2 linked regions of the Neodiprion lecontei genome follow. The protein of the gene in region 2 interacts with the protein of the main gene of each other region in a pairwise test. Links are inferred from orthologs where the notes say so. Each region holds a gene or a part of one and is shown on either strand. Other genes may lie near its edges. The genes, in order: aryl hydrocarbon receptor nuclear translocator homolog and protein trachealess.

Region 1 (8,960 bases), on a different chromosome or scaffold from region 2:
CGAGAGTTCTTCTTGAAAGGACATGCTTGACAATTGCGACTCGTCTAGTTCGTAAGCGTAGCCAGCTTCGTAAAAATGTTACCAGCATGGTGGCTAGAATGATCGTCGATTCTAGGGAATTTGTTCTGGTCAGCGAAGGTTTGCTTCAGGCTGCAAGCTCGGAAGTCAGCCATTCAAAATTAAGTAAGTTGAATCGCGGGTGATACGAGCTGGTCTTTTCGAGAAGAACTCTCGGTATATTCTTATTTTCACGTTAAATATAGAAGCTATTGCAATATGATATGTAGAGTGATGATCACACGACCGAATGGTCCGTCATTGCTAAAATGTAAGGCACATGCGTTAACATTCGAGAGGAATGAATTGTTTGCCAGGGCGACCAACCGTCAAAATTTAAACCACAGATCGCCGCGGTGTATGTAACCTCAAAAATCGGTGTTGAAAACAACTGCCAGGAATAAACGTTAAACTTTTTGAGGTTACGTTCATGTCGGTTGGTTGCCCTGGCAAATATGAAGGGTAGAGGTAAGGAGGACTATCTCCGTGTATAAAAAGTCTCCGTAAAGTAGAAGCAAATTAAGATGGCGTTGCTGCAGCAAAGCTTTACAAAGCGCGAATCAGATTGTGACCCTTATTGCTTATGAGCGCCATTCCGGTGACTCGTTCAACTACTACTTGCTGCTTTTTGGTGGAAGCTTTTTCAGTTAAACACCCATATTAGATACTTCTCCTTACCTCTACCCGCAAAATCAGCAAACGACTTCTGTCGGATTGTAGCGCATACGTATTAAATTATAACAGACGACGGGCGATTCTGTCGTTAGCAATTCACACTGTAAGTATAATTATACATGCGGCAGACTGTGGCTATTCGTTCCGTTTTTTTCTTTCTTTCTCTTTCTCATCTGTTTTACGATACAAAAATACCGTTATCGGTACTCGATTGCCTCCGATCGTGTACGCGACATGTATATATGTATAAATTATTTGCACGCGTGTGTATATATAGTACATCTAAATACGTCAGTGCAGGTATCTTTATAGTCGCGGATATTATATTTAACGCGTCGGTACAACCCGTATATAAAATATGTATATACGTATTAATACTGGGGAAGTTTAATATCCGTGCATATGCGACTGTAACGATTTCTTATTTCTTTGTTTTTCAACCACTACTGCCACCCACGTTCTTTCGTATTATTATTCAGTTTTTAACAATACTATACAGTATACAGAAATTTAGCAACTGAATTTTTCGCGTGTACATATTTTAGATCAATTATCGGGACAATTATGGCTGGATGTTGAGGTGAAACTTCTTGAGCGGGTGTAACTGCAGAATCTTGTGAAACGCAATGTTTTGAAACGCTCTGTTAACAACGCAATGTTATGAAACCCCCAAACGAGTCCTACCACCGGTCTTTCTTTTACGCGGAACATCGTGCTTCCACTCATTTATACCCGAACACAAAAACTTATTTCAGTAGTTTGAAGCCACGGTAAGTCTCTCATATTTTGTTAGAAAATATAGAAAGATATAAGCTGGTACAATGTGTGCTACAAATATTATACATATATGTTTCATGTTTCTATTATATCCGTAAATACGAATGCATATATGAGTATAATGTATGTACACCGTGGGAATTAACCAGCCAATGACCACAAATCTCTATTACGTGACGTGATCAACCAAGTTTGCGTGTACATCGGATCGGTTTGTAACATATGTACCGTGCAATAACAACTATATGTTAACATTTAGGTACAGGAATTATATTTCAAATTACCGCGCTATAATTTTACCGCTCGCCATTGATTTTTTCATGATCCTTTCGTAATAAAAAATAATTTTTTTTCATCAAAGTTATCAAATTGAATTATAAAATCTTTTTTTTTTTTTTTTGTACAGCAATAATTGTCCGCGGTATTTCAAACATCTCCTTAATTTGAGTGAAAAAAAAATATTGTTAAAAATTAACACAAAACGAATGAAGAGTTAATTTCATCAGAGCTGTAAGTCGTCATTTTGACTGAAATGGTCAAGGTGTAACTGCAAGAGGTCGTATATGGCAGTGTGTTTACACTCGTTGTTACTCAAAATTTCAGCTGATCGTGCAGCAACAATTATACGTATATTTGGTATATTAAACACGAGTCGCGAGTTGTTATATATACTGGAACCGACTACCTGATACGCGACGTAACACAAGATCGCGATTTATAACCGAACATTTCTCTTTGTATTCTCATTATACGTTTCGATATTTTTTATAACATTTTCAGGAAAATTCAGGCTTTCATTTAAATGTAAAATCGTTACGTATTATGAATGAACTTGCCCGACTGCAACTACCTAGAAATCATATATATATATATATATATATATATATATATATATATATATATACATATATATGAAAATAATAATCGTAGAATTAGTGCACTCAAAAAAATGATACGAGATCGTTTCCTTTGATAGGTGAAGATGCGGCGGTACTTTTACTATATCCGCTGAGACCATAAAAATGCCAGTTTCTAATGTTACGAGCGTTGTTCATCGCGACGGAGCAACCGGCCATACGTGTAATACTAGTGTAAAACAGGCGTTACGGTATGCATGTGCAACTGCGGGTATAATAGCCTAAATACCGATTAGATATACGCATACAAATGCCTGTGTATACACATTGTATAATAATGCACGAAGCGATTTCACCGTCTCGAAACCGACACGAGGAGAAAAAGAAGAATTATGGAATGGAAAAAAGAACGAGAATAATAAAGTAAATAATAATAAGTAGAAATTGATTTAAAACAAAAAACAGAAGAAGAAAAATAATTACTATACGTATATAATCGGCGTGATATAGAAAAGTGAAAGATTACGATGTTTAAATGTGATATTATACCGCGAGGAAGTTGCATTGCACAATCCTGTAAACCTTGTGTGTACCAACACTGCCCGTATTTTTATGCTTTTCTTTTCTTTTTTATGCGCGTGATTTTTACAGAATGAAGAGAACGTGTTTTTCCAGTTTTTCTTGTTTTGATTAGGGATTTCGAATTTTTTTTCCATTAAAAAATTCTTCGTTTTCCCTGGTTTTCCAGAAAACGTTTCAGCGAATATTTGATGAAGAATGATGTGAATTAAACTGCAGGAAATTAAAAAAAAAAAAAAATAACTTAAGAACGGAAAGGGAAGAAATATAATCTATTAACAGTAAACCTATGCTTGGCTATTTCAGTAGAGCGAATCACAGAATAAAAATGGTCTGGTGACGCAATTGTTAATAGATTTTTTTCATTTCGAAGAGATTAACGAATTGCAATTGATCGATATGCTACAATAAGACGTGCTCCTCTAATAGAAATCTGTAACGAGTTGAAGAGAAAACACATATCGCTTTGTGAAATTCAGTTTTAATAACATCTTTTCTGATAATTTGATACTGAATTTTCGGACAGTAGTGCTTGATCCTTAAAAGTAAGATATAAAAGCGCTTGTTTTACCGCGATTTTTACCATGCGGAAATACATAGGTGCATACATTGAATTTCGCGATATTTTACGATTAAATGCATTTATTGCGAGTTTTAAAGTAGCCACGGGATATGTTATATGCTGTCTTAGAATTGTCTGTACAAATTTTCCTTTCAGTATATGATCGAATGCCCCGAATGATTTGTCGAAGTTTTTAACAATCTTATAGTTTTTATTTTCTCTGATTTTTGTCTAATACCCCGAATACCCAGTTTCAATTCCCTAGAAAAATGAGAAAAAGAGCAGCTGCATCTGCACTTCGGGTGGTGGTTCAAGTATTTTAAAACTGACGATTACATATCTTCAAGTATAAAAGTCAAGTCACCGACGAAATAATGGGAAGAAAAAATATGGAAATTCTGATTATTTCAACACAGGATCTGATGTGAGAACTAATCTCGGTAGATATATGTTGAACATAATGAACATAATTCTGAAAAGTAGATCTCGCTAAAAAAAAAAAGAAAAGAAACAGATCACACATCGTGTGTTTTATGAAGGTTTTGAATTTTATTGACAAACATTATCAAACCGGAACAACAAAGCAGACATTTCATTTTGAAGCTAAAAAGTGAGGCTTTATTGTGATTTGTGCACAATCATCATGAAAATTGAAATAGTTAATGACATTTTTAGGATGAGCAACTAAATTGACAAGCGTCGTTCAGCTGTTTTTGATGTTTGCAAATGTATTCATTTCAATAATATTCCTCTCTGCTGTGGCGCCCATAGAATTCGCGTCTTCTTGACGATGCCGCCTTATATCGTTAAATGAGTGATTTGGCGGCGAAAATTTTGACTTTTTTAACGGTAAGAGTGTAAACAATAAATATCCGTGGTCAAAATTAATACCTTTTACCATGTAAAGAAGAAGGAAATAGGGCAGAATGAGGAGGCAACTCTGTTCACCTACGTTTAAATCAGACATTCTTCGACACGATGAGATTTAAAGTACCGAACAAAAAATGTAATCTATCGCTACAAATTACATTTCATTCAAAGTCTTTGTACTGCACTCGTATACCCAAGATTTTAATTCGGAACTAAATCACGGATATATAAAAATATTCGCTAAAACCGTAATATATGAAACGATATGAAAATTTAAGTTTCAAATGTCAACATTTCCAGGTAAAACGAAAATTTTTCACCATTCCAGATTTTCAAGTAGATTGGCAATCTTGCGTTCTGTAAGAAAAACGCAGAGTGGACTTTTTCAAAGTATATAGTTGGGTGTCAATCCAATACTATCTGGTATTGAATTTCCAAATTCACAAAAAAAAAAAAAATATATATATATATTTATAGTAGTCCACAGCTGGCAATTTTCATAAATTTTAACACGAGTGTTTTCTATAGTACGATATGTTTCTCTTTCACGAGGTTCTTCTTTAAACAGCTTTTCCTATACTTTCCACATGCCATTCCATAAACCGATTAAATCATGATATTCGCAATTACCGGCGCCACTTCGATCCGTGGCACCCTGAATGATAAGCGTTCATTGGACATGTTTCGGTGAAGTTTACCTTCTCCTCTTAGTCTGCGAGGCATCGGACGGTGTACCTTGCATCTGGTGTATATGGTGCGGCGACAAGGCGGCGTTACCCTGAGGGTACGAAAGCAGCTGAGAACCGGGGGTAGACCCGGAGTGTCCACCGGATACTGGAGCTCCAGAATTGGGGCCCAGCTGGTAGCCGATCGGGGCCGAAACCCCGGCGTAGGAACCGGAAACCGGAGCGTTTCCAGAACCCTGATGAAGTCCGACGGCATAGCCCGCGCCACCCCCGGCGGATCCACTGCCTCCGTACATTCCGTCGATGCCAGGGTAATCTATCTTTATTGGTGGTGGGGGGTAAGAATGGATGGATGGATATCGGACAAAGTCTTCAGGAGCGGCTGTTTTCTCCCCTCGATTCTTATCTCGCACCTCCTGTAGATCTGATTCGCTTTTTGGCCTTGAACCCGAGGACTGTTATCACATTATTATCATCCGACGATGGTCCGGGCGGCACAAGCTTCATTGATGAACGAGTAACACAGCACACAAAACACAACAGCACCTTGCACACCGCATCCGCGGGGTTCGCGCTGATAATGACAGTGCCGATCCGCGATTCGAATATCGGTTCCAACGACGGTTAACCGGGAGAAGTTGTGGTAACCCGCACTGCACACCACCCACAACTCGATCCAACTGACTGGTGCTGATTCTTCCACCATACCGGGAGCATTATGTGCGCTGGTGGTGCTCCGGTAAAGACTATCACTTCTCCCACCATTAAACCGCCGCGTGCAGTTACTACTCAGTCTATATCCCGTGTGCGGGTGTCGTCCTGTACTGACTGCCTCCTCCGAGTCTAAGGAGAGGAGGACCTCGGCTGTTCCCCGTTCCTTCGACGAGTCCATCTTCGGATCTTATAATGCTTATGTGTAAGCGAAAAACGAAGCTTTTATTCGATTTCTTGGACTCACTTGACCGACGCGATAAGGCGAGCGTGATCGTGTCAATGTAAAGAGACACCTCACGGACAACGAGGCGTTGCCGTTGAGCATACTCGATGTTATTGAAATTTCCAATGAGCTTGATCGATGGTACAAATTGTCGCTACAACTGATATTACGATCAAAAAACGACTGTAGTAGCTTGATTCGATATTCAGCATTAAGTCAACTTACAAATGACTCGGTAGTCATTCACCCCTTAAGAAATAAGAAGACGAGGATGAATTCGGTAACGTTGCGGTGTAAGGATGAATGTTTAGGGAAAATCGTTACTTCGCACCTTTATGATTGTCTGACATTTCATCGATCCAGGATAAATAAAACGTAGTCATGTATTTCGAAAAGTCATCTCTTGAAAGTCATTAGGAAATTGCACGATAATGATTTTTTTCTTATACGTTTCGTTACGTTAACGTTACTGACTTCAGCCACGTATAATATTATCAAACCTCTGCAGTAGCAATGAATTGACGTTTTCATCAAGCTTGATTGATCAGAATTTTGAGAATTAAATCATACTCGCTCGCCTGGACGACTTGCAATGAATTGAAAAACATCGTAAGAACTGCGTTGGCTGGTTCGTGGGTTACGCTGGCTCTTCGATTTCACCCAATTTTTTAAGTTTTGTCTTTCGAGATTAAAACGTAAGACTCAAGTTCAAAGATTTTTAAGATTTTTAGTTGCGAATAACTGTCAATAATTTTCCGTTGCAATATTAAACTTGTGTTCAAAAAACCAATACCTGTGATAATCAATTCATAAGTCACCAATGTCACGACTTTTCCTAACTTTCCTCGATGAAGTTATGATTTGTCCCTGTCTAAAATTTTTAACTTCGTAACCATCTACCTAAACTAGATTCTAACTAAAAAAAAATTGGAAAGTTTATTCTTTCTTCTTCCGTACCTGCCACAAAATTTTCTACCCAACCCAACAATTCCCCATCTTTTCTCTGACTTGCCCGACCATTTTTCAAATTCCCAGTTCTCGGTTTTCTCTGATGAGTCGCCGACATATGACGATATAATGTAATAAAAATGACGATAAACATTATTCACATATATCCACCTACAACTTGGAATCCAAACACGTCTTCTAGCAAGCACATATGTGCAGATTAGGGAAAAAATGCCTTTACGGATTCCGAGGTTTCGAAATAACCGTAAAAAATGGGAGATTATGCCGCGTTACCCAGAAGAAGCAAATCTTCCTGACGATTAGGAAAAATTCTTCAACGCTCAAGTATGAAGCACGTCGGGAGTAAGTGAAGAGGAGGGAGTTACCGGCCATATTTTGACTCCCGCCTCTCGCGGACAACTCAAGTTCCGTGTACCGTTTGAGAATTAAGAAGCCTACCTAGCCTGTCGGCGAGTCATAAAACGACTCGAACTCCTTTTGTCCGAGCTGCTTTCCCGAAAACGTTAACTCGCCGGGGACAATAAGGGGGGAGGGCAACGTGCGGTCTAACCGTAACTGATCTTCTCTACGTTCCTCACTTGCCTGCATGCTGTACATGTACCACGGTTAACGGGGTCTCCTTACTTTCCTCCTCCAGTACTTCTGCCGATCTTTCTTCCTTTTCTTCTTCTTGGAACGACAGTTTGGTCCAGAGGAGCGAAAAGGATAGGGATTTAGAAAAAACAACGTACCGTGAATAATGCCTCGGCAAGACGTTGCCTCGTTTTTTTACCGCCTGGTTCACACCTCGGGACTATACATCATTACAACAATATCGGAGAATATGCGGCCCCGCTTCCGATCTCGATTCGACGTTTGATGAATTTATTTTTTGTGCACAAAAATTTTTTTCTTCATCTCTTGGTACGCTGTGCGAATTAGATCGCATAAAAAGGTAACAGAGGTTTCTGTGCTATTCGCTCGGTCGGTAACGAGATACGAGAAACTGCGGTCTATTAGAATCCGAGTAGACCAGATAAATCGGACGCGATATGTTGTTAACAATTCCTCGTTTGAGTTGATTGAATCTGACAAAAGTATAATTGGTTTACCAATTGCCATTGACTTTTCCAAGAAATTAATCAACGCAGCTGATATCGGAACTTTTCAAGATTGTTGGACCGCAGATCGCACGCGAGTCTACCGATGTCTTGTACACGGGGGCAGGATTAATGCGAGATAGATTTTTAAGATTGTTATTAGTACTCACCCTATACTGCCAGCTCTGCGTTTTTCTATTATCTTGCTTGGGTCAGTCCCTGAAAAATGTGATGAGGTTAGAGATGAACCGATTAAAGATGAATGGTTGTTATTATTAGAGAGAATTTTCAAAGCTACGGATGACGTTTAACCCGCACAAAAATTTTGGAATTATTCATCACTGTAATGGAGATTCGCTCTGGTGCGAGAGGCTGATTATTGGTTAAAACACTTCACGGAACAACGAGGAAAATAACGATTGAGTTTTATCGAGAATGAACAACAAACTGACTTTGGATCTGGCGTGTATGCAGGTATGTAGTATGTACAGTATACTAACGTTGCGTTAATATTATTAACTGTTTATCGTTACCTGGCATAGAATGGGTGATAGCAGACATCTGAATAGTAAACATTCAGGTTGTATTATTTGTTTTACACCATTTTGACACAATAACAGACTGTGCGTTATAATACGGTGACGCTTATTCTCGTACGTCGTCAAAACTGGGTGTTTACAACGAGGGGTTACGCCATTTTGTAATTTTCTTTTTTCCTGGCGGACACGGCATAGACTAGACTCACGAAATTAAGCAAGAAGATAGTCGTAGACGTGTCGAAATACGGCCCTAAGACTGATGATACATGTTCTTGCCTATAGATGGCGTTTCGAGATTTCAAAATGGAGGACCAGAACCGATTGAAATGCCTGAAAATATCACGATTAGTATCTCCATGCTCACTTTTTCTTG
Region 2 (8,959 bases):
CAAACTCTAAAAATCCGGAAGTTGGTAGTTTCGAAGCGAAATTTTAGGAGAAAGACTTTCACTACCTCCGACCGAATTCCGTTTTACCTCTGCCCTTCGTTATACCGTACGAATTTTAGCTGCAGGCAATGCCGTCACGAGGTCACCCGGTTCACAGACTGTCGATCCGAGCCACGTGTAGGAGAAGATTAGAAATCTGACGTCAATTGGCAAGGAGAGAAAAAAACTCTTAAAGCATGATGTAAAAACTGTCAGTACATGGATCCCGCGAAAGACACCTATTATCTCGATAATCTACTCATCAGAACCGTTTCCTGATCGAATGGTCGACGACTCGACTTCAGACCCGAGTCGCATGCCTCGGGTCTCTGGATATCGCGGAAGACGAATCAAGAGCTGGATAATTCCGTCGGTCAGCTACGACGGAAGCCGTCGCGAAGAAGACGAGCGTCTCGATGCAAGCCCAGTCGAAATAAGCGGCGGTGGGCCTTACGAGGAGCCGTTCGTCCCGGGGCCCGCGGGCGTATAAGTTGTATAATACGGACGCGGCCGAGGTTTCGGCAGGCTATAATCAATTCTGATTGCGGTCGAGGATCGCCGTGTGCGATACGCCGCGCGATAGCGGGTGAAAAAGAGGAAAAAATAAATAAATAAATAAAAAAAACAGGCCCATCCCTGCAACTACCGTCCGTTCCGCCGCAACCCAGCGACAGTCGAGGGTTGGGGGATGATACTTTGCGCTCAGGGTTCGCCAACGCGTTCCCATTCGTCGAGCCTGCCGACGCGACGGCACCGAGGCTTGCGTATCCCGTAAAAACGGAGGTAGTTATTTATCGGAAGGACCCCGCGCCACCCGGCAGATTCACCTCGACGCAGCTCTCGTCCTGCAGGAAGAATGCGTCGACTCTCGGCCCGTCGGGTGGCTCCGACGACAGCCTTGATCCGCCGCACTTGTTTCTTATGATCTTATTATATCGGTACGTCCGGTCCCATTTAGCCCCGGGAGCCATCATTCAATAACGTTGATCTGCCCGGATCCCGGTCATACCGCCGGATCCCCGACAAAGTCTGTCACTGTCAACGAGACGAGAAAACGGCGCGGAACGCCGAAGACTCTCCGAACGGCAACGGCGAATACCGCTCATGCTGCACCGGACGATGCAACCACCTGAGTTATCTGCGCCGTGTGCGCTGTCGCACTTTTTCCTTCACCGACGTCGGAGATCGGCGAAATCTCGTCGAAGAACCCCCGACGGTTAAAAACCGTCCAACTGCGTTCGTGTGGCCCGATTTTTTCACCGTTCGCTTACTTCCATTATTAATAATAATAACAATGATAATAATACCGAACGCGTGCGATGTTTTTTCGGGATTGTAAATTCCATCAAACAGGTAGATAGTTACAACATATATACATACATATATATATATATATATTAGAAAAATTCCAAATGATCTCAGCAACCTTGGAGTAAATTTGATCCCAATATACGGTACTGATTGTAAAAATCGTTTCAGTTCAAGGCAATATTTAGACGCCCGTTTTATATCCATGCCTATGATATTTCTTTTAGCGAGAAAAGGTGAATAAATACCAACGGAATACATGCATATACAGTTGTTTAGCAACGTGGACTTGGGCAAAAAAAGCCAGCTGACTTGAATAGAAACAGTTTTTATTGAAATGCCGACTGCAATTGAACACCGTCTGTAATAATATCGCATTATACCTGAGAACTATTTACCCGCAGTGATTTCTTACATACTTTAGATACGGTCGGATCGACCGCGTGTATAGCTCCAAAGTCTGTAATAAGCGACTTGATATAAAGTCTGGCGGCTCAGTAAAGCGCAACGAGAAAACATCGGCGACTGGCACAAGTGGAACTCGTGAAATGTAATATCATCCGGAGCGAAGCAGTTCGGTAAAAGAGTCCTCGCTTCGTGCCGTACGGAGGCGTGGGCAGATGAGATTACGACCCCCGACCTTTCGGGTCAATTTTACCGCTGTCAGACTCCATTGAACGATACTTTGACTCGGTTTATTTTCGGACCCAAGTTTAACGAGATAAAGAATTATTCTTTACGGTATCGATTACTTGCTTGTACCTCATCGTCGCGAAGGTGATCACCAATTTGTAACCGTGCGAATCACGGTTATCACCTTGCAACATATGTACAATATGGATATTACTTGCAAGGAACATAAATTACAGTTTCAGCACTGGAAATTTCTAAATTTGAGTCACGGACCTCGTGTCTCCGTCAATGATTGACGTCCTTTTCAACGTTGCTCAACGGGCAATATTTCAAATATTTGAACAGTGGTATTTTTATTCTCATAGCACGGTTATCAAAAATTAATCGATCCGCGAGAAACTCATCGCGACTGTATGCAGTTTTTATAGATCACTCAAAAAGTAGAACGAGTAGGTACTCGTGATCTGATCGGCTCTGTTGAACACAGTAAATAATCTATGGTATCGAATTTTCTGGCATAAAGCACGCATTTTCTTTAGTTGGAGAAAGTTGGAGGTTTCATTTCAGGGATTACCCTCTTTTTACCACTTTTACCAGGACAAGAATTCATATTTTGCAATGCCTTCTACATACATTCAGAATAAAATCTACGGATAATTCCAGGAGTATGTTTTCAACATTGTAATCAGTACTACGCGGAAAAATGATTACTTGTAACAGTACTTGCGCTGTCGTTGGACTGTCAAAAAAATGTCGATTCACGACAGTGGATTATAACTAGTTTTCCATATTGAAGCAACTCTTAAAAGTTATACTAAATTTTTTCCTGAGCCGCTCCATCTTTTCCTCGTTGAAAATAATCGCATTTCAATTGATTTTCGCGCGTTCCGGTGGCGCAATGCCTAATATCGAGAACGAATTCGAAAACAAGTTACCGTGGCCCGTGCGAAGGGCAAAAACAGGCCCCCCTATCAGATCGGTTGAATCGTGGGCGGCCAGAAGCAGCTTGTCTATGAATTGGTAGTGCTCGCGGCAGGTTCGTAAACTACGCAGGATCGCGTGTCAGCCGGGTGCTCGAGGAGCGCATCGGACCCAGCGGGGTCCGGAAAACGGATATTGGTCTGGACTACGTATGGAGCCGTCGGTTCCGCCGGGATTAGTATAGTGAGACTCTCCGGGATGACGAGGGCAGTAACGAGAAAACCCGGGAGAGGAAGAGAGAGAGAGAGAGAGAGAGACAGAGCTGAGAGAGAGATAGAGAGAGTGAGGCACTCGGTCGGTGACGAGGGTGTTTAGACCACGGGCTGCAACAAGTGGCAGTCAGCGTCGCACTCGCGCGGCTCACACGCTAACGCATTCACGCCTTATTACACCCATACGCATTCCGCCCGACGACGTGGGTGCAGCCGTAGAAGATGCGTCCCTGGAGCGATCAGACCCAGGACCCCCGGTCGGGCGTTCCGCAAACGGGACCCCAAGTAATTCAGGGGACGGATGAACGCCGCGCGACAGACTCGCCGGCGCTGGACGTAATTGATAGCGAAATGCTAATGATCCGTGCGAGTCGAGAATGATAATGCGTTTCTTGCCGGGATGCGGCGGAAGCGGCTACCTGGAACTCCGCTACTTGCCATTTATTATATTCATTAAACGGCTCCTGCCCGGTTTGTCATCTCGCGTAGGCCGCCTCCTCAACAACACTTTCCCCTCGTCGTCTACCTGCGGCGAAAACACACGTGCCCGAAACGCCCGCGTCGTTCTAACGCAACCGATTGACCACTTAATCGTCCCTCAACTTGTACCACCTCGGAGACACTGTACCTAACACTTTGCTTCAGTTTCGCTCTGGATGACTCGCGGCGTGAAAGTGGTGACAAGAAGTGACTTCGGGTCACGAGCACCAGAGATTCGACCAAACTCATTGCAGAGCGCATCGCCTATTATATGTGGAGAAGAACCGAAAGGTAACTGCAATTCTTTGTATTATTTTGTCTGCATGCCCGTCGGAGAGCTGTGAATAAGTTTGCCTATTATTCCTGTCAGCGTCGCAAGAACCTAGATCAAATCTGTTGACAAGAACTGAGGTCGACGCCTGAAACCGGAGCGTGTGTCACGGTCAACTAGAAAATAAGTGGAAGTCATTTTTTGTTGTATTTTATTTTATCACGTTCCGTCAGCGAAATTGGGGCAAAAATGGAATCGTGGATGAGAAGAAACGCTTTCGCAACTCCCGTCACGGACACTCTGAGGCAACAACCCTGTGCCACGGCCGTTCGGACCATCGTTTGACCTCAAACTTTTCGTAGTACATCGGAAACGCTACACACCGAACGGCACGACAGTAACAAAAAATGCGTTCAACTCAAAGTAGGATGGCGATTGTCACCTGGAGCATTACATCAGAGAACATGTGTTACACGCCATATATACCGGGATGGGAGTAGGTAATAGATTTTAACGACGCGATACACGCGGTTCTTGCATCTGTCGCGGTCTTGGATCGGCCATGTGAGTCACGTTAACCGTGTTAGTAAAAGAGTTTGCATCGCAGTACGAAGAACAATTAGAAGTGCTCTGCTAGTAAATTCCGTAAGTCTCTGTATCTCTGGTATCGAATATTCGCCGTCGGGTAGGAAAGAATCGGTGAATGGGAAGTTGAAAATCGAGGCCTACCTGTAGTAGGGAAACGCCTGGGGTACGTGAAGGTCCATCGGCATCGCGGGGTGGGCACCCCCGTGATGAGCACCGGCCGGATTGTAGTCACCGGCGGCGGATAGCGGCGGCTGCATCATGCCTGCGGCCGCCGCAGCGGCGTGATGATGATGCCCGGCGAGCATGGCCCCCCATGGGAAACCAGCCGCCCCCGGCATCGGGGGATGTTCCAGATCGAGGCCGCGAGGACCGGCGGTAGCCGGGCCGTTACCGCCGCCGCCGCCGCGGTGCATCAGCCACCCCTCCACAACTGACGAATCTTATCTCTCACTGTGGCGTTTCACCCGCGACCGCACTATAAAATATACTATACGGGGTAGGGGGTTGGTATCACGTAATATACCGATCACTCTGGCACGCCTTACGAACCACTGCTCGTTACCCCCCAAGCTCCACTGCGCACTTTATCGGCCGACCCCGGTTCACTCTTGTCACCACATAGCTTGGTCGCGACCTCTTCGGACCTCCGGGTTTCGCGCCGGGGTTGCGGTCGCCTCGGAAAACGCGCGGACTAACGTAAAGCGAGCGCGGCACTTGACGCGGCCGGGCGAGGATCGAGACGCGAGAGGACAGGTGCTCGCGCGATTACGGAGCCGGACGGACGACCCGGAGAGTGGCGCAGCCTTCGGCTCGGCCATGAATGACGCGGCGTGGACCTCGCGCCGCCGCGGAGGCGGGGCCTCCGAGCTTCGCGGCCACGTGACGTCCCCACGAGCCTGGCGCCCCGCCCCCGCCCCCGCCCCGCGACGCCTCGCCGCGGCGACACCCGCGGGCCCCGGCGTCGCGACGTCCGACGACCGAGGGGCGGCCGCGTTCCCCGCGACTTCGAACACTTGTTGAGCCCGGCGGCCGTTGTGTGCGATTTTGTCGCGTCAACGCGCTGCTGATGGGCTTCCGGTTCACCATCGCGGAGGCTGCGTGCTCGATCGGCGACGACATTGTGTTCTCGTGAAAAGAGAATCGCCTTTGATCGTTTCGAATCGATTTCTTCGACATTCGCCGTGTGTGTCGCGAGGCTGTTCAATGTACTCGTATGTCTAATGGATACACGCTGTTGGGAACAACGCGCAACGCGCTATTGAGAGCAGGGTCACGTCGAATCGATTCACCGTCGGCGTACCGGACAGTATGGACCAAGGTGTACGATGTGTATAATACCGATGGGTAATTGAAGCGCGGAACGCGTGCCGAAGAGAGGGAAATGAAAAGAAGAAAAAAGAAAAGAAAAGTTGCGCGGCTGAGATTTTATTCGGAATAATACTTCACCGGGAATTACGAATTGGAGAGATGTGACCCCCCCGCGCATCGCGCGTCTTCGGGTCGTTTCAACGAGTATAATCCCTAATTAAAAAATTTGCTAAACGCGAACAGAAAATGTTTCGAGACGCTCCGGCGTCGTTAAATCAGCCCTCCTACCCTCTCCGCCGGTAGGTACAATAAAAAATTTAATCAAAATGCCCTCTTGGTAATTTACAGCCTCCTACTGGCAACCCTTGCCGAGAGGGAAAAGCTCGGCAAGAAATACCCCGCTCGACGGACTCGAAGTAAGCTGCCATCAGGGTGGAAGGGGGCAACCCCGCAGGAGTCGTTGAGCCCGCGACGCGGCCCATTTGCCACACCGATCCGTCACCGGGGGGTCGTCCGAATAAAAATAATTCCCGGCGTCTTCACTCATTTGCGAATGTTAAAACCCCGCCGTCCTCCGCGAGGCTGACGCCGACTTCGTCCTGGTTAGTCGTAAATTACAAATTAGACCGTTAAACTTTGCCCATTAGCGCGTGCAAGCTTCGGGACTGCAGTATCTCTCGGGTAGCATCTTAACGCTCCGCATCGAACCAGGCTTGCACTTCCGGTTAAATCGCTGCCTGCACTCCCGAACAAACGGTAACGGTTACGAGTTTCGACATGACTAGACCAGCACGTGCGAATCTTCTTTGCAATTAATTCGACAAGATACGCACTGCAGCGATTATTATTAAATCTGACAAACTGGCGCATCTTCACTGAATGAGGTGCTCGAGATGCGATCCTTTTATATCAAGGAGGTAGTTTCCCGGCGCAGATGTCCTAACTATAATATACGGCCCATCTGACCCAGTGAAATGTTTTAGATTTTCGAACAGCCCGTGGTGAGGACGTGGTCGTAAAATGATGACCGAGCGGATCGTACAGCTGTAATAACGGCACTGCATCCGAGCCTTCGGGGTGTCGTTGAAAATAATAACGTCCTGCAGGCCGGTGTTGGGCGAGGTTATGGTAAGGGGTGGCTAAGTGCACAGATTAGACGGATAGAACGTGATTCTTCGCGGAATCGCTCGGCGTTGAGCGTGTCCGCGTTTGTCCACGTTCGTCGTAAGCGAGGATGTTTCAATCGGCCGGGCACGAAGCGTAGTCCGACGCTGTTTGGTCACCGGTCCTGAATACCAACCAAGGGACGCCCGGCGTCGGCGTCGAATATCTGCATGTATAGTCGGGGCGGGGGTGTCCGGGCCTCGTGAGTTGGCACGGCTTGGCGTCGCGAGACGAGAGGAGAAGAGAGGCGAGGGGGTGAGAGGTGGCGAGGAGAGGGGTGAGGCGGGGAGGAACGCTATGAGGGGATTACGTGAAGAGGATGGTAAACTTTTGTAATTTACAAGGAGAACAGCGCCGCAATATTAACAAGCCTCAGCTCGCTGCCGGGCCTCTCAGCGATCCTCGGGAAACCTTTACTCTTCCCCCAAGATTTGAGAGAAACCCTCTGCGTATCACCGATATACATTCTGCTAACCGAAACCCGATTTTGCGTATGCAACATGTCTGCACGTGTTCCTGCGTCGTTCCATCGGTGCGCGAAGCGTTTTTTCGAGCTTTCAAATTTCGTTCTTTCGGTTATCATTCTCTGATTTGAATTTTTTTCGAACCTAAAAACGTGCGCTTTTATTCCTGTAATCCGATTCATTTGTATATTTCAAGGGTTGTTGGAACAGTACCTGCAATATCGAACACTAACAATAAGTACCTGTGCTCACTTGGCATTGTCGGCGCGTGACCAATATCGTATATCATCGCGTGCGTGCAAAGGTGACAGGCAAATAACGCTGCTCCACAGACATTAGAAAAACCGCCCTCTGTTTACGTCGAGCAGTTGGTTCGTCATGCCGAGGATTTCTATGAAGAATATACTTCAGCCGTCTCAAATTTTGGCATTTATTTTTGGCTACTGTCCATTTTGGAAATCAGGTGCGCACTTGTAAAACTTAATAGATTATCAACTCGCATAGGGAGGGAATAATAATCATTTTCTATTGTCTAGCCGGCGAGAATGTTTATCACCGAAGCGTTCTGGGTACGATACTGCAAGTAGTCAATATCCTTTTAACCCTCACCACCCTATCGTACATCGTGGGATTTTATCTTCCCGAAGCGTTTGGCTCACGACACGAATGTTCGTCCCTTAAAAACTGCAGCCAATTGATAATCCACGCTAGTCACTTGGCGCTTCTGTTGTGGTTGACTGTGGACCGATTAATTTTTGCCTCGGCAACGTTACGGTGTCTCAATCTGACGCATGAGCTCAACGAAGAACTTGGCTGCTTGTCTCCCCCGAAACAGCGTCCAATTTCGTTTCAACTAACGATCGTATGGACCGTCGCGTATCTGATCGGATTGCCCTTTCCCGTGAACAATGATTTCATGGAAATTGCATGGTACTGCTCAAAATTCTTAACCATGTACTGTGAGACCTTAGCTTTGGAATTCGTCACTGTACCCTCCGTGGCTCTAAACACGATCAACGGATTGCTAGAGACTTGGCAGAGGACTGGAAACTGCAATGTAAACGACTTGACGCGGTTGCAGTCCCTTTACTTGAAGGCAGCGTACGTGTCAGAAGTTGTTAATGATTCCTTCGGATTTTGTTGGCTGGTGTCACTTCTCGCAGCAAGTATTCAAATCGTTCTACCGTTCAAGACACTCTTTAAAGTACTCGATGATTTAATCGTTATTGACCATCGTATTCCTTCTACTGCTGATTATGTGCACTATGCGTATCTGTTCTTGGTACTGGCAACGAGTGTGCTACGCTACTTCCAAATTTATTACACCCTGGATCAACCATCCTCAAAGGTGATTCACTTAATTTTAAATGAAATCAGGCTAGGCCAATCTGTGACATCAACTTTTCACGTGTATACAGCATCCTATGAATTCTCATTGCAGAGAATCAAAACCGTCAGCATTCTGCGTGAACTGATGAATAAACATAGCGAGAACGAATTATCGACGAAGG

What was found.
Region 1: the proteins of protein trachealess (region 2) and aryl hydrocarbon receptor nuclear translocator homolog interact in a two-hybrid assay, tested with the Drosophila melanogaster proteins (3 studies listed by BioGRID). The link is inferred for Neodiprion lecontei from reciprocal best matches to the Drosophila melanogaster genes trh and tgo.

What each region holds. Positions count from the first base shown.
Region 1 is NC_060262.1:22,116,661-22,125,620, forward strand, and holds the start of aryl hydrocarbon receptor nuclear translocator homolog, read right to left. Parts: upstream 5,737-8,960; 5' UTR 5,360-5,736; coding exon 5,076-5,359; intron 1-5,075. UniProt on the Drosophila melanogaster protein: Heterodimers of tgo/trh are involved in the control of breathless expression. Plays a role in the cellular or tissue response to oxygen deprivation.
Region 2 is NC_060263.1:30,859,606-30,868,564, forward strand, and holds the start of protein trachealess, read right to left. Parts: upstream 5,299-8,959; 5' UTR 4,926-5,298; coding exon 4,654-4,925; intron 1-4,653. Other genes in the region: uncharacterized protein LOC124294103, read left to right, coding at 7,827-7,911, 7,985-8,796, 8,890-8,958. UniProt on the Drosophila melanogaster protein: Transcription factor, master regulator of tracheal cell fates in the embryo, necessary for the development of the salivary gland duct, Malpighian tubules and the posterior spiracles.